Tribolium castaneum: one gene and its partners. The protein of the gene in region 3 purifies or fractionates together with the protein of the main gene of each other region. This does not show direct contact. Links are inferred from orthologs where the notes say so. Each region holds a gene or a part of one and is shown on either strand. Other genes may lie near its edges.

The links.
Region 1: the proteins of SmF (region 3) and Prp4k purify together in Homo sapiens (co-immunoprecipitation; 3 studies listed by BioGRID and IntAct, with this or other methods). This does not show direct contact. The link is inferred for Tribolium castaneum from reciprocal best matches to the Homo sapiens genes SNRPF and PRP4K.
Region 2: the proteins of SmF (region 3) and icln purify together in Homo sapiens (affinity purification with mass spectrometry; 3 studies listed by BioGRID and IntAct, counting the BioPlex papers as one, with this or other methods). This does not show direct contact. The link is inferred for Tribolium castaneum from reciprocal best matches to the Homo sapiens genes SNRPF and CLNS1A.
Region 4: the proteins of SmF (region 3) and pre-mRNA-splicing factor RBM22 purify together in Homo sapiens (co-immunoprecipitation; 3 studies listed by BioGRID and IntAct, counting the BioPlex papers as one, with this or other methods). This does not show direct contact. The link is inferred for Tribolium castaneum from reciprocal best matches to the Homo sapiens genes SNRPF and RBM22.
Region 5: the proteins of SmF (region 3) and probable ATP-dependent RNA helicase DDX20 purify together in Homo sapiens (affinity purification with mass spectrometry; 5 studies listed by BioGRID and IntAct, counting the BioPlex papers as one, with this or other methods). This does not show direct contact. The link is inferred for Tribolium castaneum from reciprocal best matches to the Homo sapiens genes SNRPF and DDX20.
Region 6: the proteins of SmF (region 3) and Tgs1 purify together in Homo sapiens (co-immunoprecipitation; 3 studies listed by BioGRID and IntAct, counting the BioPlex papers as one, with this or other methods). This does not show direct contact. The link is inferred for Tribolium castaneum from reciprocal best matches to the Homo sapiens genes SNRPF and TGS1.
Region 7: the proteins of SmF (region 3) and pre-mRNA-processing factor 17 purify together in Homo sapiens (co-immunoprecipitation; 3 studies listed by BioGRID and IntAct, counting the BioPlex papers as one, with this or other methods). This does not show direct contact. The link is inferred for Tribolium castaneum from reciprocal best matches to the Homo sapiens genes SNRPF and CDC40.

Annotation. Positions count from the first base shown.
Region 1 is NC_087394.1:6,855,790-6,860,820, reverse strand, and holds the start of Prp4k (serine/threonine-protein kinase PRP4 homolog), read left to right. Parts: upstream 1-1,647; 5' UTR 1,648-1,819; coding exon 1,820-1,830; intron 1,831-1,891; coding exon 1,892-3,032; intron 3,033-5,031. UniProt on the Homo sapiens protein: Serine/threonine kinase involved in spliceosomal assembly as well as mitosis and signaling regulation. Connects chromatin mediated regulation of transcription and pre-mRNA splicing.
Region 2 is NC_087394.1:28,289,008-28,292,215, reverse strand, and holds icln (methylosome subunit pICln), read left to right. Parts: upstream 1-1,543; 5' UTR 1,544-1,559; coding exon 1,560-1,678; intron 1,679-1,730; coding exon 1,731-1,873; intron 1,874-1,922; coding exon 1,923-2,266; 3' UTR 2,267-2,336; downstream 2,337-3,208. Other genes in the region: uncharacterized protein LOC103312536, read left to right, coding at 260-376; transcription initiation protein SPT3 homolog, read right to left, coding at 428-1,321; Upf2 (regulator of nonsense transcripts 2), read right to left, coding at 2,513-3,078, 3,126-3,208. UniProt on the Homo sapiens protein: Involved in both the assembly of spliceosomal snRNPs and the methylation of Sm proteins.
Region 3 is NC_087398.1:3,705,953-3,709,018, forward strand, and holds SmF (small nuclear ribonucleoprotein F), read right to left. Parts: upstream 1,431-3,066; 5' UTR 1,315-1,430; coding exon 1,140-1,314; intron 1,088-1,139; coding exon 996-1,087; 3' UTR 899-995; downstream 1-898. Other genes in the region: calmodulin-like protein 4, read right to left, coding at 1,722-2,137, 2,186-2,216, 2,267-2,269; mitochondrial coenzyme A transporter SLC25A42, read left to right, coding at 2,722-2,870, 2,914-3,066. UniProt on the Homo sapiens protein: Plays a role in pre-mRNA splicing as a core component of the spliceosomal U1, U2, U4 and U5 small nuclear ribonucleoproteins (snRNPs), the building blocks of the spliceosome.
Region 4 is NC_087399.1:5,882,036-5,886,315, reverse strand, and holds pre-mRNA-splicing factor RBM22, read left to right. Parts: upstream 1-1,731; 5' UTR 1,732-1,867; coding exon 1,868-1,921; intron 1,922-1,970; coding exon 1,971-2,024; intron 2,025-2,080; coding exon 2,081-2,344; intron 2,345-2,601; coding exon 2,602-3,492; 3' UTR 3,493-3,547; downstream 3,548-4,280. Other genes in the region: flr (actin-interacting protein 1), read right to left, coding at 1-136, 191-475, 714-1,042, 1,098-1,188, 1,241-1,362, 1,471-1,486; thioredoxin domain-containing protein 11, read left to right, coding at 3,827-4,056, 4,100-4,280. UniProt on the Homo sapiens protein: Required for pre-mRNA splicing as component of the activated spliceosome. Involved in the first step of pre-mRNA splicing.
Region 5 is NC_087394.1:23,203,605-23,207,530, forward strand, and holds the end of probable ATP-dependent RNA helicase DDX20, read right to left. Parts: intron 2,683-3,926; coding exon 977-2,682; 3' UTR 914-976; downstream 1-913.
Region 6 is NC_087394.1:22,602,338-22,607,125, forward strand, and holds the start of Tgs1 (trimethylguanosine synthase), read right to left. Parts: upstream 3,095-4,788; 5' UTR 2,968-3,094; coding exon 2,870-2,967; intron 1,102-2,869; coding exon 963-1,101; intron 1-962. Other genes in the region: chromobox protein homolog 1, read right to left, coding at 3,630-3,654, 3,702-3,976. UniProt on the Homo sapiens protein: Catalyzes the 2 serial methylation steps for the conversion of the 7-monomethylguanosine (m(7)G) caps of snRNAs and snoRNAs to a 2,2,7-trimethylguanosine (m(2,2,7)G) cap structure.
Region 7 is NC_087400.1:5,273,083-5,277,922, forward strand, and holds pre-mRNA-processing factor 17, read right to left. Parts: upstream 3,402-4,840; 5' UTR 3,253-3,401; coding exon 3,124-3,252; intron 3,074-3,123; coding exon 2,527-3,073; intron 2,476-2,526; coding exon 2,261-2,475; intron 2,109-2,260; coding exon 2,000-2,108; intron 1,951-1,999; coding exon 1,796-1,950; intron 1,745-1,795; coding exon 1,389-1,744; intron 1,338-1,388; coding exon 1,160-1,337; 3' UTR 1,110-1,159; downstream 1-1,109. Other genes in the region: exd (extradenticle), read right to left, coding at 1-24; PpV (serine/threonine-protein phosphatase 6 catalytic subunit), read left to right, coding at 3,690-3,857, 3,906-4,461, 4,509-4,699. UniProt on the Homo sapiens protein: Required for pre-mRNA splicing as component of the activated spliceosome. Plays an important role in embryonic brain development; this function does not require proline isomerization.

The DNA of each region.
Region 1 (5,031 bases), on a different chromosome or scaffold from region 3:
TTTAAATTCCACAGTGAAGAAAATGTATTCTAAGACCCCTTAAATTCGGAACTGTTTATGATTCATTCTGGATCTGGAATCTATTCACTAAACTGAACTGCAACAGTTCCTAAAACTTAAAACAGAATCCCCGCCTTATCGTATGCCAGTCTTTAAGTTTTTCAAATTGTCCGTTATTTCTGTGTTATTTTGCGGACGATTCTGAGCCCAATCTAATTCTCCGTTAGGGAGTAACTTTTCAGCACTCGAGTGTTGTTAGAGCGACTAAATTAGGCCAAAAGTTGTGCCCATTTGTGATTATAGTTGCATGACGTTTTTTTTAATAATTTTGGATTTTTTTTTACAAAAAGTCAGTAATATTTATGGTTCGATGAAAGTAAACATGATTGTTAATTGCACTAGCGGCTAGCCCCTGCCGGTCTACAAATGTTCGCTCAGTCGAAATGTTGCGAGCGAGGTCGGAACAGTACGAACGGAGACCATAACGGACTTCTCATTTCAGCTGGGCATATTGGAATAGTGGTTTTTATGGAAATATGTTGCGCGTGGCTGGGGCTTCGCCCCAGTTAACTAAAAGGAAACAAACCCCACGACCAATTAAACTCGAAAACGTGGAACTCGAAACGTGGAATAGTGTTTTTTTATGGAGCTAGGGTGGCGTACAGTTCATAAACATAAACACTATTCCACGTTTCGAGTTCCACGTTTTCGAGTTTAATTGGTCGTGGGGTTTGTTTGCTTTTAGTTAATTGGGGCGAAGCCCCAGCCACGCGCAACATATTTCCATAAAAACCACTATTCCAATATGCCCAGCTGAAATGAGAAGTCCGTTATGGTCTCCGTTCGTACTGTTCCGACCTCGCTCGCAACATTTCGACTGAGCGAACATTTGTAGACCGGCAGGGGCTAGCCGCTAGTGTTAATTGCTTTCATCGCGAACAGACGCCTCATAAATAAAATCAGTATTTTGCGGTTTAAAAGTTATATTAAATATGCAATGTATTTTCAACTAATTTAGTAGCACATTGTTCTTATTTCACTATTATTATTTCAGTGAGTCCGTTAAAGACGGTAACAGAAGAAGAGGCCTCAAAGCCAGGTGTATGCATTTTCCTTTTTTTTACGTTATTCTTGCTGGACAAATTAGTTATTAATTTGACTAATAATTAGAGCTATCCTTAAAATTTGTAATGTGTATTGCTGGTTGCATTTTATAGGCGTAAAATTATGTTTCAACATTTTGTAACGTAATATTTGTAATATGAATCTATACTATTGTGTTACGCTTAGGTTTGACCATTTCTCTTATTTATTCTCTGTTTCCAAGCTTATGGAAATGCCAACGTCCCCTTTCTGTGGTATTTATAAATTACTCATGCACTTTAATGCGACTTTAGCATTTCCGTAGTTTTGAAACAGAGAATATCGCATTTTCATTTTTTAGAGAAAAATATAGGACAAATTGGGATTTTCTGTAAAAGCACAGCTATAAGAAAAAAAATCTATGTTAAATTGAAACATAGAGTACCTCAAGTACAAACTACCACGTGTATAATCTTTTTTATTGAAATTTGCAGTTTTGTGCAACTTGTGTCGAGTAAATCAACAGTTTTTGTGAAATTTTCTTTACAATGTTTCCATTTTCCCGCCGAAAGCGCCAACGCTCCCTCTGTAAACAATAGCCGGCATTAACTGCGACTCCATCACCGTTGGCCTGGCGATTCGATATTCCGATGTTATTCCTAGGTTATTTTTGAAATAAAATTACCACTAATCAGCCACTAATTTGCCATTTCGATCACATTTCCCCGCCACCGGAATGGACACCGAGTAAGTACCACGTCCCCACCGCCCCCAATCCGCCAATCTCTCATCTAACCTTAATTCGCAGACCCAAAGGTGAAGTCCAGCCGCCCGCCACCAAGCCCACCTCCGCCAGCCCCCCTAAGAAAAAACACAAGAAAGACCACAAACACAAACACAAAAAGCACGTCACCGAAAAACTAGATAAAACTAAAAAGACCAAGAAACGCAAAAAGCACAAACACAACAAACAAAGGGACATGTCGGAAGACAGGCTTTCGACAAAAAGTGACAAACTAGATCGGTATACCCCCGAATTATCGCCTAAGTCAGCAACTGCAGTATGTAAGAAAAATGTTAATCATATTATTAATGGTAAATCTTTGTCAGGGACCCCAAAAAACAAGGACCCGCTTAAAACTGACACTGATGAGGTTGTTGCTTTTGTGGCGCGCGGTCTCACCGACACGCACTCGCTGGAGGTGATCTCCTCCGAGAGCGAGGACGGCGTGCCGGAGACAGAGTGCGATAGCGACGCGATCGACGTCAACGTCATCGAGGCCGACATGGACCTGGAGGAGCTCATGAAGCAGAAGGAGCTGCTCCAGGCCGAGATCGCCAAAGCGGAGCTCGAAACGACCAAAAAGAACGGAAAAGACCCGAAAATTGTTGACGAAATCATCCTCTTGGACGATTCGAGCAACGACGGGGACGTGGTGGTGCCTGTGAAGAAGCCCAAAAGGTCCCACAGCAGAGAGCGCAGAGTCGTCATTGAGCGCAAAGAGCATCCAAGAGAGGATGTGCGAAGGCATAGAGACGACAAACACAAAGTGTACGAGAGATACGGGCGAGATAATTATCACAGGACCAACCACAGGAAAAGTCCCGAGCGGAGGGAGAGGTCCAGGTCGCATATTTATGACAGGGATAAGCGACATGTGAGAGATCACAGGTCGAGGGAGAGACATAGATCGCGGGATCGGCGATATGATCATAAGGATTATTATCATCGGGATTATCACAGGAATGATACGAGGAAGGCGAAGGAGAGGCATAGAGGGAATAGGGGTGAGAAGCAGGATAAGTACAAGGACTCCCTGAGTGAGGGACAGAAGCATGGGGTTAGCAGTGATAGCGATATTGATGTTAATATCGATCTGGTGGACGATGAAGAAGATGAGCAGAAGATTATTGAGAAGAGGAGGAAGCAAAGGGAAGAGTTGTTGAAGGTAAGTTTTGAAAAAATGTCATAATTGTACAATCTGAACTTGTTTGTTATGTTTGAAAAAATCAATAAATAAAGGAAAATTTAAAAATAATAAAATATAATAAAAAAATGCTTGAATATGTATTTTTTTAACTGTACTATTCTGAGTTTCTTTTTGTTAAAAGTATTTTTTGTTGTAAAAGAATTGGAGATTTGATCAGTTTAAAAGGGAAAACACTTGAAAAGATTCAAAAAATATTAGTTCGAAGAATTTTCTAACTGTACATGAAAAATATATGTTCAATATCATGAGACTAATTTTTGAATGTTTATTTTTCGAAGATTTTGTTATGTAACATCTAATATTTTAGTATCGTTATTTCGACTATTATAATTATAACTATTAGTATATTAAGGGAGGAAAAACATGGATTCTCTCCCGAAATTGAGAAAATGCGACTTTTTTTCAGTGTTATACATTTTATTACATAGCTGAGTTTGTACACCATAAAACTTTACAGCAAATAATCGTGCTAATGTGGGGGTCTAAAGATATTTACGATATTGGTCGGTCCATCTGAAAGATTTTACATGCTGAATGATTTGCTTGAAGGATTTTCAGTTTGGGGTAATCAAAATAAAATTTTATGGTGTTCAAACTAAACTTTTCAACAATACTTATGATTTTTTCGGCGTTTTTACCAAGAATACCGTTTTTCACCAAGGAGAATGCAAGAGAAAAATACTTTTCTTTCTCGGTAGGAAATGACGTGCTTTCGTGGGGTATTTGGAGGGTGGAAAATGATTTTAATCGAAATGGCAAAAAATAGTTGGAGCATTTTTTGTGTCTTTCTGATTGATAAACTAATACAATCTCATGGAAAAAATGTATTCTAATTGGAATATTACTGTTCAAAACATAATTATTTGGCCCTTCAGCTTCATTAATTATCATGATCTGCCTTTTAATCCAAATTAAAAAACTGATAAAGCCTACTCTAATTATAAATTCAAATGATCACGCAGTATTACAATTTTGAAAATGCTTTTTAAATTATTTCGATATACATTGACTTACTTACTCCTTATAACAAAAAAGATAACATAATCAATAAAGTATAAACACTCTCGGGTATCTAACGTTAAACATAGGATCGTTTATCCAGAATAAAGGCAAAATGGGATTACAAACAACAGTATCGGGCAACATACGTATGAATTAGTGTCAAAAAACACATCATGAACATTCTTACGAGACGATAACAGTGATAATTGATAAACCTAAAGAATTATTTCTGTTATAAAAAATGTTGAATTTGAAGCAAATTATATGAAGTTGTGGTTATTGTCATCCGAAAAATTGTTTGTTTTGTGTTTACTTGCCCTTTTTTATTACAAGGAAGTGTAGACAAATTCTGAAAAAAATTACATGCAAAGAAAGAGAAAAATTTTATTTCTGTGATTATTAATTTTGTAGAAATACAGTAAAATATACTTTTAAATGTTGAAAATAACTTAATTAGTTCAAAAAGAGTGGTCTTTTTCAGTGTTTAATCACGTGTTTGAGTCTTTAGGTAACTTTTTGACTCAGCTTTCTGGAAGATTTTGCTAAATCGGGCAATAAAAGAATCTCTAAATAATTTGGATGGTGAAATTTTCGCAATTATTTTTTGTTTTTTTGGGCCATTTATTACCTTTTTTAATCTAAAAACAAAAACTGTTAGTTAGGTCAAAAACTGTGTAATTTTTACATTTTTTTGCGCATTTAAGCAAGTGCTTGAACTGAAAATTCAAGTTCTGCCACAGTTTTAAACATTTTGCTATTAGATACGTATTTACTTGGAGGAATTTCAGCAAAAATAAACATATTGGGTGGAAAGTGTTATTATTTTTTAATTTCCTGTTCATTTTCTGTGGATATTTATGAAATTTTAATAGTTTTGGTAGTTTTTATGGTTGTCCTTCCATGAACGTAAAATACGCCAAACTGTAACCAAAACACGTGTTATTTTTGCTTTTTT
Region 2 (3,208 bases), on a different chromosome or scaffold from region 3:
TATGTTAAAATAAATGCCTTACACAATTTAACCATAGGCAAAAACATCTGATAAACATTAAAGAATTTTGAAGAAAGTATTAAAATTTATTTATTTTAAAAATACATAAACACATTAAAATATTGCACGGTTAGCAGTGACTTTAGCTCTAAGATTAGTTTCGAAAAAGCACAATTAATAAAAACATTAGCACAACAATCCAAATTATAAAAAATAAGTGAGAGGCTAACTTGACTGACCCCAATACCTTTGTTTTCAGAGTTTGGCGAGAGAAATTATAACATCGGTTGCTTCAATATCATCTTGCATAATCTCTATTTTTTTCGTAAAAAATTTGTCGAGAATGGATTCGCTGCACATAAATTTTGCAGCGTAATATTTGGATAAATAAAAGACCGTTTAAAAAATTAAACTTTATTAGAACAAATTACAGAGCAAATAGATAATGCGTGTCTGGTAGTTTTCCCCCGAAATTCAGCTTCCCTGCTTGCGGACAGTGAATTCTTCTCATAACTTCTTTAATTTCATTGACACTAATGGGGGGCTGTCCACTGTAAACCCTGCTATAGTCTGGATTGTTACCACTAGCCCCTATCCTATAATCCCCATTAAACATCGTAGAAGTGTAGTAATTGCCGTATAAATGATTCAGTGGATCACTCCCACATTTGCCCTCCATCCTCACAAGCAACGCATAATCGGTTATCTCAGCAACTGTCTGGTACCCCAAATACGACAAAACCACCATAGCATTAGTGCTGAAATTAATTTCCTTTTTCGGGTCAATCCACTGTCTTAATTTTTCGGAGTTTCGGGCCGTGATATCTCTACTGCAAAACGAGGTGGCTCTCGCTTTGCAAAACTCCAAATACCTCTTCTCGTCCAGGGCTTGAGATATGCGATCAGCCCTCAGCATCCTCGACTGTTTGACTTCATCAACTTCGGATAAATCGGTGAATTCTCCCGTCTCGTCTATGTACTCGATAAACTTCATTAGCTCGTTCTTCGGTATGGGATCTCTGTCAATTTCAATGACCCCCGAGTTCAACGACTGGAGTTGCTGTTTGAGTTGCTTGTTTTTCAAATATTGGAAAAAGCGGCGCATTTTGTGCTTATTGTGCCGCATTAGGAACACCAACTCCTTGCCTTTGAGGTTCTTACCATCGGAGTACTTCAGCGCTTCCTGGACGATCATGCGGAGCTGCTTCAACACGATGCTCTCCACCAAACGCACCGTCTCGGGGTTCGGCTTGTGGCTGTCGCCGAACCCAAACATCATCAGCGAGATTTCGTTACAAAAGGTTGTTTTTTGGGAATCCATCAGTTTTTGTCAACAAACACCTAACCTCAATTGACAACAAATATTTTCCCCACAGAATAACAGGTTTTTTTCCCCAATCAAACACAGCCGGTTCAAAATACCAGCCCGTGATTGGTCCTTAGCTCACAACGCCGCCAAAAGAAAATAAAAATCCCCAAGTTAAACGTCAAGCGCCATAGTTTGTGGTTACAATAATTTTGAAAAATAAACACGTTTTGCGAAAAAAAGTGGAGGAAGAATGGTTGTGGTCACGTCGTTTAAACCACCAGAATCTCCTATAAGACTCGAGCAGTCAAACGTTGTGGTGATTTTGGATAAACGTGATCTGGGCACCGGAACCCTATTTGTGAGCGAAAGGTAACACAATTATGGCAAAACCAAACGAAAAATACATTGTGTTAAATTACAGGACACTCAGTTGGCAAAAAGACGGGACTACGGGTTTTTCAATTGAATATTACAACGTCTCGCTCCATGCGGTGTCCAAAGACCCCAACGTGTGCGAGAGGGAGTGTATTTATATTTTGACTGACCCCCACATAAATTTGTTTGGTTTGTAATTTTTTGCGCAAAATTTGGTTTATTGTGCGTCGTTTTGTAGGAGAAACTGACCAAAGGCCCGCAAATGATGACAGTGACGTTGAGTCAGAGCCAGACCTCTCGGAGCTGATTTTAGCCCCCGAAAACCCCACACATGTACAAAGTATTTACGAGGCTATAAAAATTTGCCAAGAACTCAATCCCGATCCTGCCGATGTTGACGACGAGGACGATGATAATTTATTCGCGGACGCAGAAGAAGAAATGTTTATAGAAGCAGAGTCTGAGCAGATTGGGGACGCAGTTGTCGACAGTTTGGCCGAAAGGCTACAAAACAACTCAGTCGACGTCCAGTACAGCTACCGGAATGGCAACGAGGATGAGGATTTTGAAGATGCAGACTGATCCCTGAATTATGTTAGGTTTTGTATCTTTAATTTTAATCCATTTTTTATAAAACACTGACTAGTGAAAAGGTTTTATTCCAACAGAAAACAATGTTGAACGAAACAAAAAATGAAATTCCTTGCTTCTCCTTCACAATTCTCAATTCCGATAGACTAAAAACGAAACAATCTATCTATTTCTGAAACATTCTGAACTTCTTTGACCCTTAATCGTATTCAACCATTTCATCCTGAATTCCTCCCATTATCTAACTCTCTTAGGTCCAAAAATCAGGTCGGCGTCGGGCGCCCCCTTGGGGTGCTGGTATTTCTTGCGTTCGCGGTTCAAGTTTTGGGTCACGGGCCTGTTCTGCTGCTGCATCATGTCTTGATAATCCTCCTCTTCAAACCGTTCCGTGATGTTCAGCGTCAAGCGCTTCACTCGTTCCTTCTCCTCCTTCTGAGCCAACTCCTGGTCCCTCAGATTCTGAGCGAGTTCGGAGTTGATATCAGCCTCGAAATTTTTATATTGCTGCTTGTTTCCTTTGCGGACCATTAGCACGAACCCGATTTTGTTGGGTTCCGTTTCAGGGGCGTCCTGCAACTGCTCGTAGGTCTTTTTGTTCGATTTGAGGACAACCGGAACGGAAATGTCCACGTTTCCGGCCTTCACCGGCTCGCGCATCCGCTCTTGGATGTTCTCCGAAACCATTTTATCCAAAGCGTTTAAAAAGTCCTCGTCCTCGGGGCACTCGACCTTGCGGGGGCCACTGGGAATTGCCAGCGATTCGGACACTTGTTCTTGCTCAGCTTCGCTAACATCGGGTTCCCCTAAAAAATAATTAAAAAAATTGGAAGATTTTAAAAGTGAGACGGACCTTCATCGTCCGAGCCTTGTGTGTGGTCCACCGTTTCGTCCTCAGTGGCGGTATCATCAGTAATAGGTGCCGTGACTTCGGAC
Region 3 (3,066 bases):
TAATAATAGGAGTAATATACAACGGCCTCTGAGTTCTGTGACTAATGCAACTGATTCAGTTCTAATTGTGCGCAAACGAGTCGTATTACTATTAACAACTGTAGCAATTGTACTTTTCACTTTTAGTATGAATAAATAATTAATAAATTTTGAATTTTTATATTACTTTTACTTACCGTTCAGTGAACTTTTCTGACTCCTGTGAGTTCGCAGTAAAGCGATGGCAGTCCATTTATCGAACTCGCTGTATACAAAAAGTATGGATAAACTGTTAAATTTATTTGAAATTGAAATTATTTAAGCCAGCGTTGTAATTTTACTGAAAATATTGACCAATAATTTTAGTTTTATATATTTTTTAGGTATTGTGTTGCTATCCACAGTTTTTTTGGCTGATAAAAGGGTTTTTGAATTTTTTCGCTTCGGCCCAAAAAATATTTTTAGTATTTGACTCTTCATTTGATGACACTTAATTTTTTTTTAATTTTTCTTGTGACCAATGTGTGCCAAAGTTATCAAATTAAATTAAATTGATGCTTTTTAAAATATAAAGTATGTTTTGGCTCCCTCTCGGGTAAATGCAAAAGCAGGTGTATGAGAGGTAACTGTAAGTGCAGGGGAACTTTCTTCAGTTGTGCTGCTATCTGTTCGTTTTGCCGTTAACTACAAGGATTTAATTTACATTTTTGGTACTTAATTATCATTTCCTTATTCCATTATAATTATTTATAGAACACTGTATGTATCCCCCACTTTATAGCGTCCTTTAATGTTAAACAAATAAATATATTTTTGTATTTTTTTTCAAAAGCAAGTTCTCTTGTTTATAATCCGTAACAGTTTGTGTATTTTTTTTGTGGTAGACAATCGTAACGTTACATGTAGAAAAAAAAACAAGTACTTTAACACGATTTATTTGGTAAAAAATTAAATCTACAATACTTATTTACGTAAGTATCCGATCGTACATTTAAACTTGAATTTACATTAAATAATTAATCCTTCGTCTCTCCCTCCTCGTCCTCTTCTTCAGCCCCTCTTATGAACAAGACATTGTTACATCTAATTAAAACTTCCCCTAAGTTACCTGTAAAAAAATGTTACACAAGGGGGTCCGCCTCCAAAGCATAGTTACATACCAGTCATATTCCCATCAATAAATTCCTCTGTGTTTGCTAATTGTAAATTCATGTAACCATCAACTGAGACAAGGTAACCTTTATATTCGTGCCCCCACTTCAATTTTACCATCACAGCCTTGCCTGTTAGGCCGTTGAGGAAAGGTTTGGGGTTTATGGGCATTGCGGTCGACATGGTTGTTGTTTTTGTGTGCAAAAAATCGCAAATAAACTAAAAACGTTGACACAACGCTAACCAGCAAAAGTGAGGTTGGAATCGAGCGACAATTGTGTCAATTGTCAAAATTTCCATCCACCATCGACGTATAAAAAGTTGATGGGTGTCTGATTTTTTAGGGCGCATATTGTTTTTTTGTGATTCTTGGACTAAAATTACCGTAATTAAAAAAAACAAGGATTGTGGTCAATTAATGATTTATTGGCGTTAGAATAAATAACTGTGCGGGGGTTGATTGCCGGCTCTCTATTTTACCAAACCGAAAAATCATTGCCAACCCCCCAGTGCGAAAATCCGAAAATAAAAATTTGTGACATGTGTTTTACATAATTTCGTGGAAAAGACTGTGTTAGGGTAAGCCCCCTCTAGTAATAATCCGGCACTGGTGCACAGGCAATCTTAACAAAATCCTCGTACCGCACCATACTGTTGTTATTAACATTTGCCTCTCTGAAAATCCGATCAATTTCCTTGGCCGAAAGACACTCGCCCCAGTTTTGCAACATGTGACGCAGCTGCTTGGCCGGAATCACCCCTTTCCCCTCCGGGTCCCCAGCCTTGAAGGCGTCCACCACCTCCTTGGGCACGTTCTCCACCCGTGAGTGAATATGCATAACCTCCAAGAAGTCAGCAAAGCTCATTTTGCCGTTCTTTTGCTTGAAATAACCCGCAAGCTCTGAGATGGTGGGCGACAGCCCCAGACTCCTCATTATCACTGTGAGTTCGTCCAGGGACTTGATGTGCCCCGAGCGCGCAAACAAGTAGAAACACTCGCGAAATTCTACAAGATTTACGAGTTAGTTTGGGGGGCTATCACGGGGGTACCTACCGTCAATGTCTTGCTCCTTGAAGTAGCGGGCCTGAAACAAGCTTGATTAGGTTTGGGGTGGGTTTAGCGGGTTATTTTTACCATTTTTCTTGTAAATATTTACACGTCAATTGTATTATTATTATCAAGGTGAAACAGGTGAAAGTACAGTTAGCGTCACGAAATTTGGCACAGACTCGTCATTAATGAATTATTTATTTTTATCTCTGATAAAATGATGATTTTATCGCCCAATTGTGCCAGGTAATTGTTTGGGGCCCCGATTAGTGGGAGCCCTTAATCAGGGTTGTAAACCCCCCGAACGAATCGATTTATCGCCTCATTTCTAACGTAATTTATTAATAAATAAAGTTATATAACAAAACAGCTCGTCATTTGCGATAGTCTTATCACTCCACGCTTAGATGTTGTTAAATCCCCGTCCAATTAAAAAAAGGTAACACACTTTGAACTTTGCCTCCTTTCCTCCGACTCTCCTCTAATTCTTCATTCCCGTTCCAGTTGACCCAATAATGCCTTGATTAGTCTTCCAAAAAATGGCTCGTAAAAGCCATGACCCTGTTTCGAGTCAGCTGAGCAACACTCAGATCGTCCTCACTAGTCTGTGTGCGGGCGCCATAGCGGGGGCCCTCGCCAAGACCACGATAGCCCCCTTGGACCGCACAAAAATCAACTTCCAGATCAGGTAAGCCCCCACGTTTGGTACCCCTCTAACTGGCTTCCTGCAGCAACAAACCCTATTCAACTCGCAAGGCGTTCAAGTTTCTGCGACAAACGTACCACCAGCACGGGTTTCTGGCCCTATGGAGGGGCAACAGTGCCACCATGGTGCGCATTGTGCCCCATGCCGCCATCCAGTTTACCGCACACGAACAGTGGAA
Region 4 (4,280 bases), on a different chromosome or scaffold from region 3:
ATTCTAAGACAGTGATGGGTTTATTGTGCCCTTTAACAACCCGGAGCGGCTTCGTTGGGTCATTAATATCCAAATAATTAATAAAACCACTCAAAGAAACCGTGAGCAAGTATTCGTTTTGCCATAAACACGAAACCTATAAAATATTATATACTTAAAAGAGGACGTTAGTGGGCGTGGCTTAACCCACTTGTTGATCTTCAACTGTCGAACCTAGGACGAATTCAGAGACGACTTGTCTCGTTTCCACGTCCCACAATTTCGCAGTTTTGTCCCCACTGGCTGTTAGCAATTGTTTACCGTCGGGACTCCAACTAACCCCATACACGCCCCCGCTGTGGGCGGGGCTTCCCACTTCCCCCACCAAATCGGAGGACGTACCATCGTACAGAAACACCTTACCATCGAACCCAGCCGAGGCAAATAAATTACCGGTGGGTGAATAACGAACGGCTTGCACAAACCTGCTGTGCTCCTGTAAAAAACAATCACGTGACGTTGACCAAAATCATAGCCACCTATGGTTACTTTATGAACAGGTATTTCCCCCCAAATTAGTTTTCGTCAAGGACATTTCGATTATCACGCAATAAAAAAAAAGGTAAATTGGGTCAAAAAAATGTGAAATTGCGTTAAAAGTGGTGTTGGTTTGTCAGTTCAAAGCTAGTGTATTTAATTTTGTGGGTTGGCGACACGAGTCGTGGCCTCCTTACCTGCTTGGTCATTTTGAACTTAAACGGGGGCCCCTCGAAAACCGCAATGGTGTTGTCTTCAGACCCCGTGATGATTCTGAAAGGTCTCGTGGGTTTGAAATCGCAGGAATTGATGGGTTTTGATTGGCCTGAGATTTCGCCAACGGAAGTTCCCGTTTCGGACATGAAAACATGACCGAAGCGTTCGCGGCCTTCGCCAACCACGACCATTCGTTGGTTATCAGGGGACCAAGCGATATCTTTGATGGGCCCCCCGATTGGGTGAAACTCATTTTTAAGGATGTGCTCCTTGTTGACTGTGTCCCAGATTCTGACTTTGCCCGATTGGTCTAGAAATAAAACCAGTTTGTTTTAATTTTCGGGGGCTCCAGTGTGTTGATTTACCTCCAGAGGCGATGTAGAAGCCGCTAGGGGAGTACTTGGCGACGTTTACCGGACAGGAATGTTCCGTGTAGACGTCGGCAATTGCAGGGTTCTGTAACAAACCAATTGGAGTGGGTTTCTAAGGGAGGAAAGGTTTTTTTTACTTGGATGTTGCGAATGATCACGGAATTGCCATTGGTGTAGAGAAAGTTCTTGCCTTTGGGATCCCCGCCCAACACCAGGGGCTGTCCTCGTTGGGTCCGCGGCAAAGTCGCGTAAATACTCTCTGGAAAAGATAAGATAAATTCCATTTCAAAATTAAACCAACCGGAATTACACGGGGTGGCTTGATTATCGCAACCTGTCAAATGAAACAAAAAACGGTCACACTTACTTGATGCAAATGACATTTTCCTGTTTTTTTTATGTGAAAAATGATCCGGTTTGCCGGAAATGGTAAGAATCCTCAAGTGGAACACGGAGATATTGTAGTAGAAAAGTTTACACTACGTGTTGGCAGTTTACGAGAAATTCTCTTGGCACACGCACTGGTTATGAACACTTGGCAAATAATTTTATTTCACAAATTTCGCAAAACCTATTTATCTAGCGGTTATGTTTGCCATAAAAGGATATAAATGGATCACCTCTCGCCCCAAAACGCCTGCGCCACGTCCCCTCCCATACACAGGTTGGCAGCACTGAGTCACGTCAAGTAACTATCAATAAAGCTTGTTTTTAGTTTTCGTATAATTTGAGCAAAACCCGAGCATAAATGGTGTGAAACTGCAATGGCAACGTCAAAAACAACAAACACATACAATCGGCAAAACTGGGAGGATGCGGTAAGTCCTAAACTGGAACTAGTGTAAATCTGATTTAACCTCACTTTAGGACTTCCCGATTTTGTGTCAAACCTGTCTGGGGGACAACCCTTATATTCGCATGGTTTGTATCTCCTGGGCCACAACTCTCCCTGATTTATTCAATAAATGTGATTTCAGACTAAAGAAAAATATGGCAAGGAGTGTAAAATCTGTGCGCGCCCTTTCACAGTGTTTCGGTGGTGTCCTGGGGCTCGTATGCGTTTCAAAAAGACAGAAGTTTGCCAGACTTGTAGCAAGTTGAAGAACGTGTGTCAGACGTGTCTCCTGGACTTGGAGTACGGCCTCCCTATACAGGTCCGGGACGCTGCCCTCAAACTCAAGGATGATCTCCCCAAGAGCGACGTTAATAAGGAATATTATATCCAGAATATGGAGCGCGAGGTTTGTTTTATTATATTTTGCGTCCACGAAGGCAGTTGAGTGCTTTAAAGAGCTTAGTGTTTTTTTATGTGGTAATGTTGCCTCCATGACTCACATCAGCCTTGCCAAATCAAAAAAAAACAAATTCACCACATCCACACCCAGATTTACCCTCTAGATTTGATTTAAATATTTCCGGTTCAGGCTTTTTTAAGCAAATAACATTGACTTTGTAAAAAGCCATTCAATTATCTGAATTTCGACCTCTTATTTTGCAGTTGCAACGGTCGGATACTGGCGTTTTGTCGAATAAGTTGAACGAACCGAATGACTTGCTAATGCGTTTGGCGCGAACAGCCCCCTACTACAAACGAAACAGGCCCCACGTATGTTCATTTTGGGTGAAAGGGGAGTGCAGAAGAGGCGAGGAGTGTCCTTACAGACACGAGAAGCCAACAGATCCTGAAGACCCCCTTGCTGATCAAAACATAAAAGACCGCTACTACGGCGTGAACGACCCTGTTGCTGATAAATTATTGAAAAGAGCGGCAGCCATGCCTGCATTACCGCCCCCTGAAGACAAAACCATCACAACTCTATACATCGGCAATCTTGGTACTCTCACCGAACAAGACATCAGGGACCACTTCTACCAATACGGGGAGATCCGCTCTGTTAGTTTAGTCCCTAAACAGCAATGCGCCTTCGTCCAGTACACGACCAGAGCAGCCGCTGAAACGGCCGCCGAAAAAACCTTCAATAAGTTGATTTTGGGCGGCCGCCGACTTACCATCAAATGGGGGCGGTCTCAAGGACGCGCGGGCCCCGCGATTAACCCGGGACTTGAGGCCTATGAACCTGTGCCAGGCCTTCCGGGGGCTCTGCCTGAATTGAGTAATAATTTCTTTAATCTCGAACCGGGACACATTCCATTGCCGAATATGCCGCCACCGCCGTCTCTCATCGTTCCGCCGATGTTCGGCCCCCCGCCCATGCCCCCATTTTTCTTTAATCCGCCCCAGTTGTCGGCGTATGTCCCCACAGCGGCTTCGAGCAGCACTGTGACGAGTGAGGCGACAGGGGGGCCCTCCAAAAGCACAGTGCATTATCCCAGCCAGGATCCGGCCAGGCTGGGAGCCACGCAGTTGCATGCAGATAGGCAGGAGTAGGTCTTAGGTCTTATGAGGTGTACAATTTTTTATCAATAAAAAATTATGACCAGTGTTTTGTGTTTTTTCTTATTCCCCGTTACTCATTGGAAGGAAAAATTTGTGAGGATAATTAATAATAATAATTGTTTGGTTAAGTTGGGGGGTGACAGCTGTCATTGCACATTCGCAGTTGGTGGACTTCGTGCGACAGCGTGACAGCTGACGTGTGCTGACACGATGTCAAATTTCGTAAAATTTCGATTTTTCACCTAACCAAAGAGCAAAATTCTCCGAATCCGCGGCAAGTTTACGTGAAATCGAGCAAGGTTCAATGGTATGAGGTCAACTGGGTATGTCATCTCCGGTACAAGAGTCGGACTGTAACACCTCGCCAGCACCTGACCCAGGGACCACTCACAATAATGACCCCGACGTTGTCGCGACAGATTCAGATAGCGACACCGATAATCCCGAAGCGAGCGTGGCAGACCGTCCCACGTTAACCCTCAAAATGTTGAACTTGTGCAAAGAATTCCTGATCATGATTATCATCGCGGTGGCCTACGCTGCCCTAACTAACGAGTAAGTGGCCCCACGGCCCAGGCACGTCTAACGCGGCTTTCAGGACCCCTCCGAAAGTGAGCAAAAGTCCAGCTGCGTACCCGTTTTTCCCTCCAAATTCCAAAGTGACGGACTGGTACCGGGGGCAGATCACTGAGGCGATTGAAGATGCGCGCTCGAGCGATATTGCGTTTGTCATGTTTTACGCCCCGTGGGATGCCGAGAGCCAGACGGCGCGCAAGCAG
Region 5 (3,926 bases), on a different chromosome or scaffold from region 3:
TTTCTTTCTTTTAGCAGCTTTTGTACCATCACTAATATGGATATGTAGTTTCCCTTCGAACAGCTTTCGAGTAAAACATAAGCATAACTGTTCAAAAGCAAATGCAAGTAAGTGAAGTAAGTAATTTGGGATCCTATTCTTCATAGTCCATTTTTTAAATTCCGCGTATGGATTGGTTGAGGGGTCCATAGTCCATTGCAAAACGTCTTGGACACTTTCAGAATACATTTTTACGAATAAAGTAATGGCCAAGTTATTAATTTAATTTCATGACCCGCGCAAGTGCAGTCAACTGTCACAAAATCCCTTAAATTTCGAACTTGAACTTTTTTGCTAAAAATACTGTATGTTACCACATTTATAAAGCATTTTGTCGCACTTACTCCTAAATTCGTGCGTGCGACAAAATGCGTCTTACAAAACTCGTTCGTATCATAATATACTATTATTTTTGTGTACAAATGAAATAAAATAGTTGTGACATAATTTCCGAATTATTACCAATGTTCCCAAGCCCTAATTCCCGTTTCTCTCCACCGTGTCACGATCCGAGGCCGTCGTCTTATTCACCTTGGGGCGCTCGTTCTGGCGTGCTAAGATCCAGATAATCCTCGAAACATGCAACGGACACGACAAAAACGCTCAGATTTAGGCCATCAAACGCCGACATTGCATCTAACCTCCGATAAAATCCGCCGCATCATTTGCATTTCATTGTTTTATGCACTTTTACCAGATGGTTAATGCACTCGCTAATTATGCATTTACCGCATTTCCGGTTTTATTTTGCGCAACTTATTGCCGACCCCGAATGAATTATTATCTCGTTGTTCTCAGAAAAATAAAATTATTGTTTGCATTGCTCTTGTTATAGAGTCACTGAACCGCTATCACGAAAATAAGACGCACACACTTAACAGGTTTTGTATTATTTATTATGACAGGAACTGCTCAAGGCGGGACAGGGAAACATCCGTTATTTATTACTTCGTCTCCTGCTTTCTTGATATTTACTCATTTCTTCGATGTAAATGTTCTGCTGGACGTAGTTTCGGACAGATTGGAGAGACTCCTGCCAGTGGTAGAACCAATCGTCGAAACTTTCAACCGTTTCAAAAGTCAAACCATTTTGCCACAAAACGTTACTACAGTCCTCGAAAAATTGATCAAAACGTTTGCCAGAACCTTCCTGAACCACTGGAGCCCATTCGAGAGATACGTCATTCCTATGCACTGCTTCCTCCATTTCGAAATCTTCCTCTTCTTCGCATTTTTCCTCCTCTTCTTCCACCTCTTCCTCCTCCTCCTCCTCCAGATCATTTGTTATCTCAACATCAAGTTCTTTACCACGGTTTTGGAATTTTTCGAGCTCCTCCAAAGGCAAATATTCCGTCCAAGTCCTCCTCCCCCCACTATCAATAGCACAGTCATACGCCGCCGTGAAAATTCCCTCCATAAAATCCTCCACTTGGGGAGTAACAACCGGGACTTCCTCCTCCAAGTCATCGACTTTCAAAATTTTAAGGTAATTATCGACCGAGTCGGTAATGTCCCCATCTATGTTAATCCCCGGATCTAGTAAAACCTTAGTCAAGTTAAGAAGCCCCCGATTTTTACAAAAAGTGTCCTGTGAGAAATCATTTTTGCGTTTCTCCTTTTGCAAATCGGGACTAGCTTCCGGGTTAACCCTTTTACGTTTCTTCCCATCCTTGCGCTCCTTTAGCTCCATAACCTCACTTTTCAAATTTTCGCTAACGTCATTTGAAGTGTCAGACGGCACGACCCCCCTTATTTGTTCCAGTGTTTTCAAATCGACTTGCCACAAATCCACCCCCTCCAATGGGGGCAGCTTGGCAATGGATAAATTCCCCCCGATGGCCCCCAGAATGTGCTGCAATTTGGTCACTTCGGGCCCCTCTGACACGAAATTAATGCAAAGTCCCCCCGAACCGTAGCGACCAGCGCGCCCCATGCGGTGCAAGTACGTAACAGCGTCGCAAGGCAAGTCGTAATTTATCACAAGATCGACATTGGGGGCGTCAATACCCCGTGAAGTCAAATCAGTTGAAAGTAAAATGCGATTTTTAAATTTTTTCAAATTGTCAATCGCCTCCAACCGCTCGGTTTGTTTCTGCGCCGCTGAAATAAAAACCGAATCCCAGCCCTTCTGGTTCAAATAATTCGAAACTGTCTCGGTCCGTGATTGGTAATTCGTAAAAACCAAACATTGGACGAACGAAACTTTCGTTAGGATTGTTATCAAAAGATCGTTTTTTATTTTCATTTGTTGGACTGAGTTAAGGCCGGGCCTTAGCATGGCTGCGAATTGTTTAAGGCCGAGTAGGAGTGGGGTCTCGTTTTCGGACGTCACGTGAGTCGGGGATTGCATGTAATTGGCTAGGAAAGTGTCAAGTTCTTGTGGGTAGGTGGCGCTCGATACTATCATTTGTTTGCGAGGGGGCAGACTGTTGTAAATTTCGTTAATATCAGACTGGAAACTCTCCTCCATTAATTTATCGGCTTCGTCGAGGACGAATAGTTTGACGAGGTTTGTAGTGAGGGCCCCCATTTTTAGCAAGTGTTTGACTCGGCCGGGGGCCCCCACTGCGATGTGACACTTGGACGATTTCTTCAAGTCGTCTTCGAGGGGCCTCCCACCGATGAAACTCTCGATTTTGAGGCCTAAAACGTGCCAATTAATCAAATTATTCAATGAATAACGTGTATCAAGACAGCCGTGATATATACAGGGTGCTGCATTTTGGATGTCCGACTAGGAGAACTCCGAAAGTAAAAGATTTAAAGAAAAACGAGTCACATTCGCGGCTCCGTTTTTTGAGAGAATTATTTTACCCAAAATCGCATCCTGTTATAGTCTTTTATTTTCGACTTTCGAAAAAGTTGTCATTTTAGTGGAATATTAAAACATTCATATCTTCCTTATTATAAAAGATACTTATTTAAAACAAAGACTTCACATATTATTATAACAAAGTCACGTTTTACAGAGAGAGAATTTAATAATGTTGTCAGCGATTTTTTTTATATTTCGTTCAACTGTAATAACAAAAAGTTTTATTTTTTTTTAAATAAGAATCATAGGCGGCTGCAGTATTTTTTAAAAGCTTATTTTGTTCTGATTTGATATATCTATTTATGTAATACATTATTTTTAAATATTAAGGAAAACATAACATTTCGCTTTTTCTTTATGGTAGGCCATGAAAAAAATTTCGATTTTCAATAAAAACTATGAAAAAATATATTACCCAACAAGTATTTATAATTTAATGATTTTTTAAACACTAATTAATTCAAAAACAGCATAATAAATTATTATTAGAACAAATTTTTGCGATTAAGAAAAATTATTTGTTTTTAGATTTAAAATGGCAAGCTAAAATTGTCATTCTATTTCTTAATTAAACATGAAATGTGGAAAAAAGAAAAATCTTATTAATCGTATTGCCTGTCAATATTTATTTTACAAAATATTTTACTCTTTTGTAGTAAAAAATACATAACATTATCAACGTCATCGCCATTGCACTTCACTAAATCATAAGAAAGTGTTATTAAATAGTAGTGACACATCGTTTTCAGTTTTCTGAACATTTTTTATGTAATTAAAATCTGCGACGATCGTATATTTGTTCTATTGAAAATAACTTTAACATAACTTATTTTGATAATTTCAAATTTTTTACTTTAATAACCGTTCACAAAATTTCTAGATTATTCACAGCTTATATGTGAAATAATTTTTCCATGGCCAACTGCTTTCAATATGTTTTTTATTAAAAGTATATAGAAATATCAAACTGTATTTATATTGTTTTCAGTTCAGAAAAAAAAATTTTTTCGAAAATGTCATAGCCAACTATGATTCCTATTTAAAAAATTCAATTTTATGTTGTTACAGTTAA
Region 6 (4,788 bases), on a different chromosome or scaffold from region 3:
GTTAATTTCTGATTTTCACTTGTTTTTGTCTTTGATTGAACATACATAGCAGCTTGTCCAAATTAAACCAAAAAAATACACCACAGAATTTCAACGAAAATCTACAATTTAGGTGTAAAGTGACTTTATTTTTAATTTTTTCGCAAAATATCGTTATGAACCAGCCGAAAATTTACCTTATAAAATATGTTTAAAAATGCTTTATCTGACCTTTTAGGGCCCTTAGATACGTTTTTGATATAATAACTAAGTTTTTCAAAAATTCTTGCTTAAACTGGCTGCAAAATTATCAAATTACATCGAAATTTGATCTTTTAGTCAGTTTCACGCAATTTGATTTGTTTTGGAGCAATATTTCATCATAAATATGGGGTTTTTGTAGTTTTTAATCACGTTTTAAACAAAAATCTCAGTGTTATTTGCGAGATCTTTTTTGCAAAATCACCTAAAATTATATTATTACATTAACAGTTTTACAGTTCTTGAACATTTCGCACATTTTTTCTGTCAGAACATACGTAAAAATTTGCTGAAGATCAGCAAATGTGTTTTTGTGAGATTTTACCAATCCTGACCGAAATTACTAAACTACGCTAAGAACAAGTCGAAATTATAACAACAATGTTGACTCGTTGAATGTTAATTTTTTGTGAGCTTTTAAATACGTTTTTTTTTAAATTTCGCTACAAGTTGCCTGAAAAATCATCAACTTCGAAATATTTTTGACCAATTTCGTCAGAAAGAAACAAAGAAACCACAAAATTTAATCGAAAATGGTAATTATTTTAATTAATTAGACTGAATTTGAACCAAAATGTAAAAATTCGACAAAAGACAAAAAATCGCCAACCAAGATAAAAAATTACATTATGTACATTACAGAAAAGTAATTACTTCGTGATATTTACGCCAAAATAAGTTGGATCTATTGTGGTATTAGATTATTTTTATTTATCACTTACCTCTTGTTTGACTTTATATTTTAATATCTGAGGCAGTGAAATGCACTCACTCGGGATCTCCTGTTCGATTAAAAGCTCCTCTTCGGAAGCGCTGAATTCGGATGAGAAAACGGTCCGTTTGAGATTGTCATCTTTGTTTCTGCAAAGATTTACAATAATGTGAAAACCTTAAGTCTGGAAATTCACATAAATAAAAACAGGCATTTCAAAAACAAAACATTTATTATTATTAATATCCAATATAAAACTTCACAAATCAAAATTTGATATGTTAAAATTAAGTAACTCGTTCCTGGCTTGAAAATATCCGGTATCAGTCAGGTCATAAGGATCAGGTACAAACGGCGGTTGAGCTTGCAGTAAATTTTTCCAATCCGTGTTTTTGAAAACTTCCAATTTCATAACTTCGGTGGCTTGTGGTCGCTTTTCGGGATCCGGAGTTAGTAAAGTTTCAATAGCGTCGACCACTTCTTTGCTTAGGGCTTCATCATCAGTGGGCCATTCGATGTTGTGGTCGAGGATATTTTTAAATACTTGTTGAGGCGTTTCGTCGTTAAACGGGGGAATCCCTGTCACAAACTCGTAGAAACAAACTCCCAAAGCCCACCAATCCACGGCACAGTTGTGCCCCTTTTGTAATAATAACTCGGGGGCTAAATAATCGGGAGTTCCCAAAATGCGTTGATCGCTGCTCCACTGCCCTCTCTTAACCGACTTGGGAGTCCTATACGGAGTTCGTGGAGTTTTCGGTGTTATAGGACTAACAATATTTTCATCAGTTTTGCAATCCGAGTCTTTGGGAATTTCAAATCTCGTCGTTTTGATTATCACTTTGTTGGGTTTTGGGTTCGAAACCGGCGTTGAAAAAGTGACCCCCTTGGGGGAATTTGTCGAGTCAACCCTCAAAATCTCCATTTCGCCAGTTAAACCTGTTCTTATGTACGATTTTCGGGGGTTTTCCGGACTCGGTGAGCGTTGTTTCCGCTTCCGGTCGCCCCCTCGCAGCTTGTAGCACCCGCGTCTACTCACGGGAGATGTGGTGGAGTCTTCGGGGTTTGTGCTTGCGCACGTGTGGTAGGAACTGTTTTCGGTGACTTGGAGTGAAGCCCCATCGGCTGATAAAAACGTAACTCCTGATAATGCCGAGCTGTTGTGGTCGAAACGTCGCTCTAAATTGGCCCCAGAGTCGTCGCAGTTCCGGGAGTTCCCCGAACCGAAACTGAGATGAGAAGTGAGGCTTAGAAGTTGGCCAGGGGTGCGTGTACAGAGATTAGGAGTGGCATTTTCGAAATCGGAAATTTCTAAATCTCGGTGGATTTGCACGCATGAGAGGCCAAAGTCGGTTAATTTAACGTGGCCCTCTTTCGAGAGGAGCATATTGTCGGGTTTAATGTCTCGGTGGATTATGCTATGGCTGTGGAGATATTGAAGTGCGAGGCAAACCTCAGCAACGTAGAAAGTTGCCATGGGCTCGTCAAAAAACCCGTACACGCTTAGGAGACTCTTGAGGTCGCCCCCGACCATGTAGTCCATGACGAGGTAAATCGAAGATGCCGTCTGAAGGGTGTAGAACAATTGCACGCAGAAGGGGCTCTTGGTGAGGGCTAGGGCGTTGCGTTCGTTCACCACTTGAGACACCATATTTTTATTTACCATTTCGGTCTTTTTCATCACTTTAATCGCGTACATCACGTCCATGTTTGTCTTTTTGCACCCCAAAAACACTTTACCGAAAGCGCCGCGACTTATCGGCTTAATAATGCAAAAATCGTGGATATTTGGAGCTTTCGGCTCGTTGTTGGTCATTATAACATCGTTTTGTTGAAAAATTGGTTAGAAAACCGTTTTGCCGCATTTAAATCTGAATGGCGAACTAATAAATGACAGATGACAGAACGATAACCTACCTTACAAAAACCCTGCTACATAAACAGTAGATTTCTTTGGATTTGTCGCGGTTCTGCAAGTAGATTTCGGCCAATGCGTACCACGGCAACTCGCACATAGTAAATGCCTCAAAATAGCATTTTTTGAGGAAGGAATTTCGCGAATTTTACATGTTTTACACGATGTGCACCCATCGGAAGCTGCGTCGCCAACATGGCCGGGGTTTTGACAGCAGGGGGATTCTAAATTAATTTGATGTTAATCGCGTTTAAAAAACAAAACAAATCATTCCGAAAAGTGGAAATATTCAAATAATTGCCCCCAATGTATCAACATTGCTTTCTACTTGTCCAAAACGAGCCAAATTCAAGCACAGTTGTGGAATTTTAGGGTTTTTCTTCAGTCAGGTTGGTGCGACCGCTTAAATTTGATTTATAGCGCCACCATAGCAGCCACTCCCCTCTTGATTTATTGTCCGTAAAATAAGACAACTTATCTTTGTGAAAAATTTATTTTACATAAACACGAAATACTTAAATATCTGACCTATAAAATAAACAAAGATTCTGCATCTGTAATTAATAAACATAAATTTCATGAGCACAACTTTTTTGTGTTTGCACATTTTTATTAGAACTACCCTAAATATATTATGTAAGTATATGCTTATAATTATAAAAAAACCTTGTTTCAACAAATGAAAAGTACAGTTATCGATAGAAAAGAAAATTTCTCTTAAACACATGAACATTTCCGAATGATATTGTACTACATGGTTTTTTATTCAGCTTCGTGGTAGTGAACCCTGTGAAAAAAAAATTAGAAAGTGAGCAATATCATTATGGAAATTACCTTTGTTTTCCTAGATTTCTTTTGCTCAAACGACGTCCCAAATGGCCGTCTGAAAGGAGAGTCAATCGATCTGTGTGCGCCCTATTGACACGTAGCTCTCTGTGTTCGGCTTCTTTAGCCTTTTCCACTTTACTCATGAATTTTTTAATTAAATCTTTACAATCCATGTTCTCTTCAGGTTCCCAACTGTTTTGTGAGTTGGGGTAACCCTTCCATGACACTAGGAATTCACGTTGGCCGTTTCTTTTAAAGTAGACGTCCAAAATGCGATCAACCTGCTCGAAATTTTTATGACGTGATCCAAAATAACTATTTATACAGAGTGAGTCATTAATATGGGCATACTAGTTACACCTACACCCTCAATGGTATCGAAATTGAAAAGGGCATAGTACATGGGGGGCCAAAGTGTTCTAAAATTCTAAAATTATGTTGCCCTATACAGGGTGTTTCATTTTTACAGCGCAATCTATAACATCGTTTTTTTAAATTACACTTCCTGTATATTTATACATATTTAAATTTGCACATTTTTAGGCTTTACATATCCATTTAGTTTTTCAATTTACTTAAAGCGTTCAGAAGTTATTTTTTTTTTCTACAATTTAGTGCGTCTACTGGCACATTATTAAAAAATCACAATGCCCGTGGTTTTCGAGATATCAAGTTGAGACTTTGCTTGTGTGTAAACAACTGTCTGAAGTATTTTTCGGCGGAAAGACCGTACAGTTGCACTGTAGCATCCCGTGCTGTAACACATTTATTTTGGTAAACTTTGAGAGCTCTATTAACTATATTTTATAAATAGCACCCCCTGTATTTTATGACTAAGTATTATTCAGCGCTTCATTTTACATCTTTTTTATCTCTTAAGTTTTTTCGTAAAAATTCGATAGTTTGGGAAATAATGTTTTTTTTTTCTTGAATATTAACATAGCGTGCCATAAAGGACGATAAGTTCTCACATAACAACCTCAAAGTGGCATTTGTTGTACGTCACTTTTGATTTTCTTGCCAAAATGAATTTTTTCCACAAAAAAATCTATCCACATCGCATCGAGATATAAAAACTTGAATTATGGCAGAA
Region 7 (4,840 bases), on a different chromosome or scaffold from region 3:
CATCATTCTGCCGGGGTCGTCCATGGGGGCACGCAAACGGCACTAGGAAATGGACGCGCTTGACAGCATACGTAAACAAAGCGGGAGGATGTTTGCGGGATGGGTAGTAGGGGCGCATGCGCGAAAGCAGGAATTTTATGGATTTTGAGGGGCGGGTGGGGGAGATTTATGGCCTTTGGATGATATTCAAATTTTGGCACGGATTGGAAAAAGTGGTTTACTAAAGCGAGAGTTGTTTATACTTGGATTCATTCACAAACTAGGGAGGACCAGAGAACTAATGATAGAAAAAATCGTTGATTCTCTTGAAATCAGCATCTAACAGTCATTCAACAGCAAAAAATCTGAAGTAAATGACCAAAAGTTGTGTCAATTTTGAGAAAAATATAGAAAATAGAAACGTATGCTGTAAAATCATACTCTAATTACGTTATTTCACAATCTACGTTGTCTTTTAGTCATTACCAAAAAACTATGCCACTCCACCATAAAACAAATTTGCAAAATACCAGCAAAGTCCGGACCTGTGTAACTCAAAACTCGTCTAACGGACTTAATTAGTTATAATACTGAACACCCCGTTTCATCATTTTAAATATATATTTAAAAATTAAAGTCCCATTAAAGTATTTAATTCTCCATTTAAATTATCTAGAAAATTTAGAAATCAACATAGGAACGAACGAAAGTAGCAACTTATTGTCTTTTGAAAGTGAATTTAATGTGTGATTGTTGCAAAGACGAAAAAATACAGTTTGAGAAAAAATTAATTAATTAAAAAAATTAATAATTAAAAGGACGATTTAGAGAACAAAGATTTTTTGAAAAAAAAGCAAATGCTGATGTTAGAAAATTTAATTACTATTAAATAAAATACTAATAATCATTCTTTATTTTTTTCCAATTGCAAAAACATCATTTTTTATCTAATTTTTTTCTAATCTTTTAAATGCTTTAACGGCGGAATTAAAATCTCGCTGTCAAAATTAGACGTAGGCATTTAAAAACGCAAAATGAGTGACGTTTCACCGTAGACATAAGTCAGGTGACCGAAATCGCTTACGTTGATTGGTTATAACGATCACGTGACCATAGCGAAAGGACGTATCTTCTAATTAAAATATTTTATTTCGCTTAAAATTTACACCTTCTTGGAAACTTAATCCCAGTATTTGATAAGTCCATCCCAGCCTGCTGTCACTAACTTGCTCGGCTCGTGCGGATGCCACAGCACACTGATACAGACATTATCGTGCGCTTTCCACTTCTTATACAACTTTGTAGTTTTCCAATCCCAGATGTAGCACTTACCATCGGCGTCACCCGACACTAAATAACTACAAAAAAAATTGTTAAAACCTACAACTGTTAAAAAAATAATAACAAACCTCAAATCTGGTGAAAAATCAAGTGTGCAGGCATACCCAGCCACCATATGTCCCGTAAACGTCTTTTTTCGATTTATTTTGAAGCGATTTAATGCCGAGAAAATGACAATTTTGTTGTCCATGCTTTGACAAGCCAACCATTTTCCATTGGGTGCTGGCGTCACAGCAGGCATGCTGTGCATGGTCGGGTCTGCGATGTATTTCATATCAACGGGGATGTCCCACTCCCAGACCCTCAAACTTTTATCGTCCGAAGTCGTAACGAATCGGCGATTGTCGTCAACGAATGTAATAGAGTTAACTGCTCCCAGATGGCGGTCGTACTCTTGGACAATATCGCCAGATCTGGTGTCCCACTATAATAAATAATTAAAAAAAAACAAAAACTGAAAAAAAAGCACACATACACAAATGATTTTCTTATCAGAAGTTCCAGCAACGAAGAGGTGTTGTTTGTTCTTATCAGGGTTGAATTTGATACAATAGGGGATTTTGCGGCTTGAAAATCGCTTGACCACTTGACCAGTCTCAGTATCCCACAATTTAATATACCTGTCGTAACCTAAATCACATTTTTTTTGTTAATATACCAAAAAAATAAATAAACATACCGGCCGAAAGAAACAGTTTTCCTGAATTATTGAAACAAATGTCCCTAACGGCTTGCTTATGGCCGTAGTAGGTGCGAACTAATCTCCTTTCGTTATACACTTCCCACAACTACAACAAAAAATACGATTATTTTTTTTAATAGTTTTGAAAAAGCTAATAGTGACTTTTCATAAACCAACATTAAGTTGGCTGTGACTGAAATTAAACTATTCGGTGCTGCCATCTTATTCAAATTAAGAATCATAGGCCACTAGACAGACCTTAATTCTGCAGTCCATGCTAGCAGACAGTAACAAATGAGCCGTTCGGGGGAACCACCGAATGGCCGCAATTCCTTTCGAGTGCCCCGACCACGTATGAATATGTGCTTTCGGAAGGAAACACTTCTCCGGGGGGCTGTCCGATTTCAAATTGACACCAACATCTTGAGGTGCATGTAGAAAACTCCTTCCCTGATAATCCACAGCGTCTGAAACTGTAACAAAACCAGCAATTTTCGCAAAATTCACCCAATAGTCACTCTTACTGTGCAAAATTGATTTTTCCTCGATTGGTTTGTCTTCTGTGGGTTTCCCCTTCTTGTTCTTTTTCGACAATAATTCGTCCAACTCTGCTGCCTCCTCATCAGACGGCTTCATGACCCTTTGTTCGTCCACAAAACCACCCCAGGGCCCCAAAAACCCCTCAATATCGCTCGGGTCGTTATTCTTTTTACGTTTTCTCTTATCTAAAGGTCTCAGCTTGGTTGATTCAAACACTGTTTTTGCTTCCGGGTCAATATCATCGCATTGGCCAGTCGTTGTAACAACTTTGGTGCCTTCAGCGGCACTGCCCACAGTGGGGTCCAGAGCGTAACCAAAACTGTTAAACGTCCGTCTTTGGTTTTCGAATTGGAACTCGTTCACATACGCTGGCTCAACGTAACCCGAAAGTATGTTTCGGGTGCATTGTTGCTGCTGGGTCTTGAAGGGGTTCTCAGGGCCCACCATGGGCGAGAACAACTCCTCGTATTTGGGGTTAAAAGTCACTTCCTGGGCGCTGGGGTCAACGTGCTGGATGCACTCTTCAGACCCCTAGAAGGCATACATTTAGTAAAAATACGCTAATAAGGTAGATCACGCACCGTGGGTAACACGACAGGAGCCGCACACACTTGGAGTTTGTTCTTGATTGAAAATTCGGGGTCCGCTGGGGGCTCCTCAGGCTTAACCTCCTCTTCGTCACTGTCTCCGTAACCTTGCAACGCCAGCATTTTGCACAAATGCAATACTCAAGTCTCAAAATGTGTAATTTGAATCAACTTTTAACCTAAAACACTAACAACTGTCAACTGTCAAAAGCAAACCATAGAGCGAGGCTGGCGCCTATAGATAATTATTTTTCCAATTATTTTAAAATTATAAAGACATGAAAATTGCCCGAACACCGGGAATTTAATTTCAGTTTAGTTAATTTTTCAATTTTCGTCGAAATTTAATTAATTCATTCGGTGGGTTCGTCCGTTTGTACGTCTGTGGTTTTCAAATTGTCATTTGTCACTTGCAAACTGTCACATCTTTTTGGTTATCTTCACTCCAATTTACCAAATTTCGGCCTTTTTGCTATGTTTTATGGCATTATTTGCCGCAAGACGTTGATTATTGCCGGGCTTTGACGTTCAATTGGTGTTGGAAAAGTCGCTAGACCAACATGTCTTCAGAGCTGGATCAATGGATTGAAATCGTGAAAGACTGCAAGTATTTGACCGAAAACGACTTGAAGAAATTGTGCAGTATCGTATGTGATATTCTTTTGGAGGAGTCGAACGTGCAGCCCGTCTCCACTCCTGTGACGGTCTGTGGGGACATCCACGGCCAGGTGGGTTTTGTGCGTCCCCTTGGCTCAGTTTACAGTCGCGTGTTTTAGTTTTATGACCTGGAGGAGCTGTTCCGGCAAGGGGGCCAAGTCCCTGACACCAATTACATATTTTTAGGCGATTTTGTCGACAGGGGGTATTACAGTCTTGAGACTTTTACTCGATTGCTCACTTTGAAGGCGGCTTATCCGAACAAAATTACTTTGTTAAGGGGGAACCATGAGAGTCGACAGATTACGCAAGTTTACGGTTTTTACGACGAGTGTCTGACTAAATATGGCAATGCTAACGCTTGGAAATACTGCTGTTCTGTGTTTGATCTGCTTACTGTCGCTGCGTTAATTGACGAGAAAGTGCTTTGTGTACATGGGGGCTTAAGTCCGGATATTAAAACGGTTGACCAGATTCGGACTTTGGAGAGAAATCAGGAAATTCCGCATAAAGGTGCCTTCTGTGATTTAGTTTGGTCGGACCCTGAGGATGTGGACACCTGGGCGTCGAGTCCCAGGGGGGCTGGGTACTTGTTCGGGGCGAAGGTCACTCATGAATTCATGCAAATTAACGCGCTCACATTAATTTGCAGAGCTCATCAGTTAGTCCACGAAGGTTGTTTTTGGTGTTTCGTTTTTGCGATAATTTAATGTGTCTTTCAGGTTATAAATACATGTTTGATGATAAGCTGATAACGGTTTGGTCGGCCCCCAATTATTGCTACCGTTGTGGCAACATTGCAAGTATTTTGGAATTCCAGACCACGGATAAAGTCGAACCGAAATTATTCAACGCCGTACCCGACAATGAACGAGTTATTCCAAGTAGAAGTGTTACTCCGTATTTTTTGTAATTTTATGACGCTAGTATCAATAAACAATTTTCAAATTTGGCGCCTTTCTCATCGTCGCACCTGCGCACTGCTAACCTAATCATCCATCTTTTTCCAAGTGTCGTCTGTCAAGAGATAGGCCACATTTGCGTATTTCTGTAG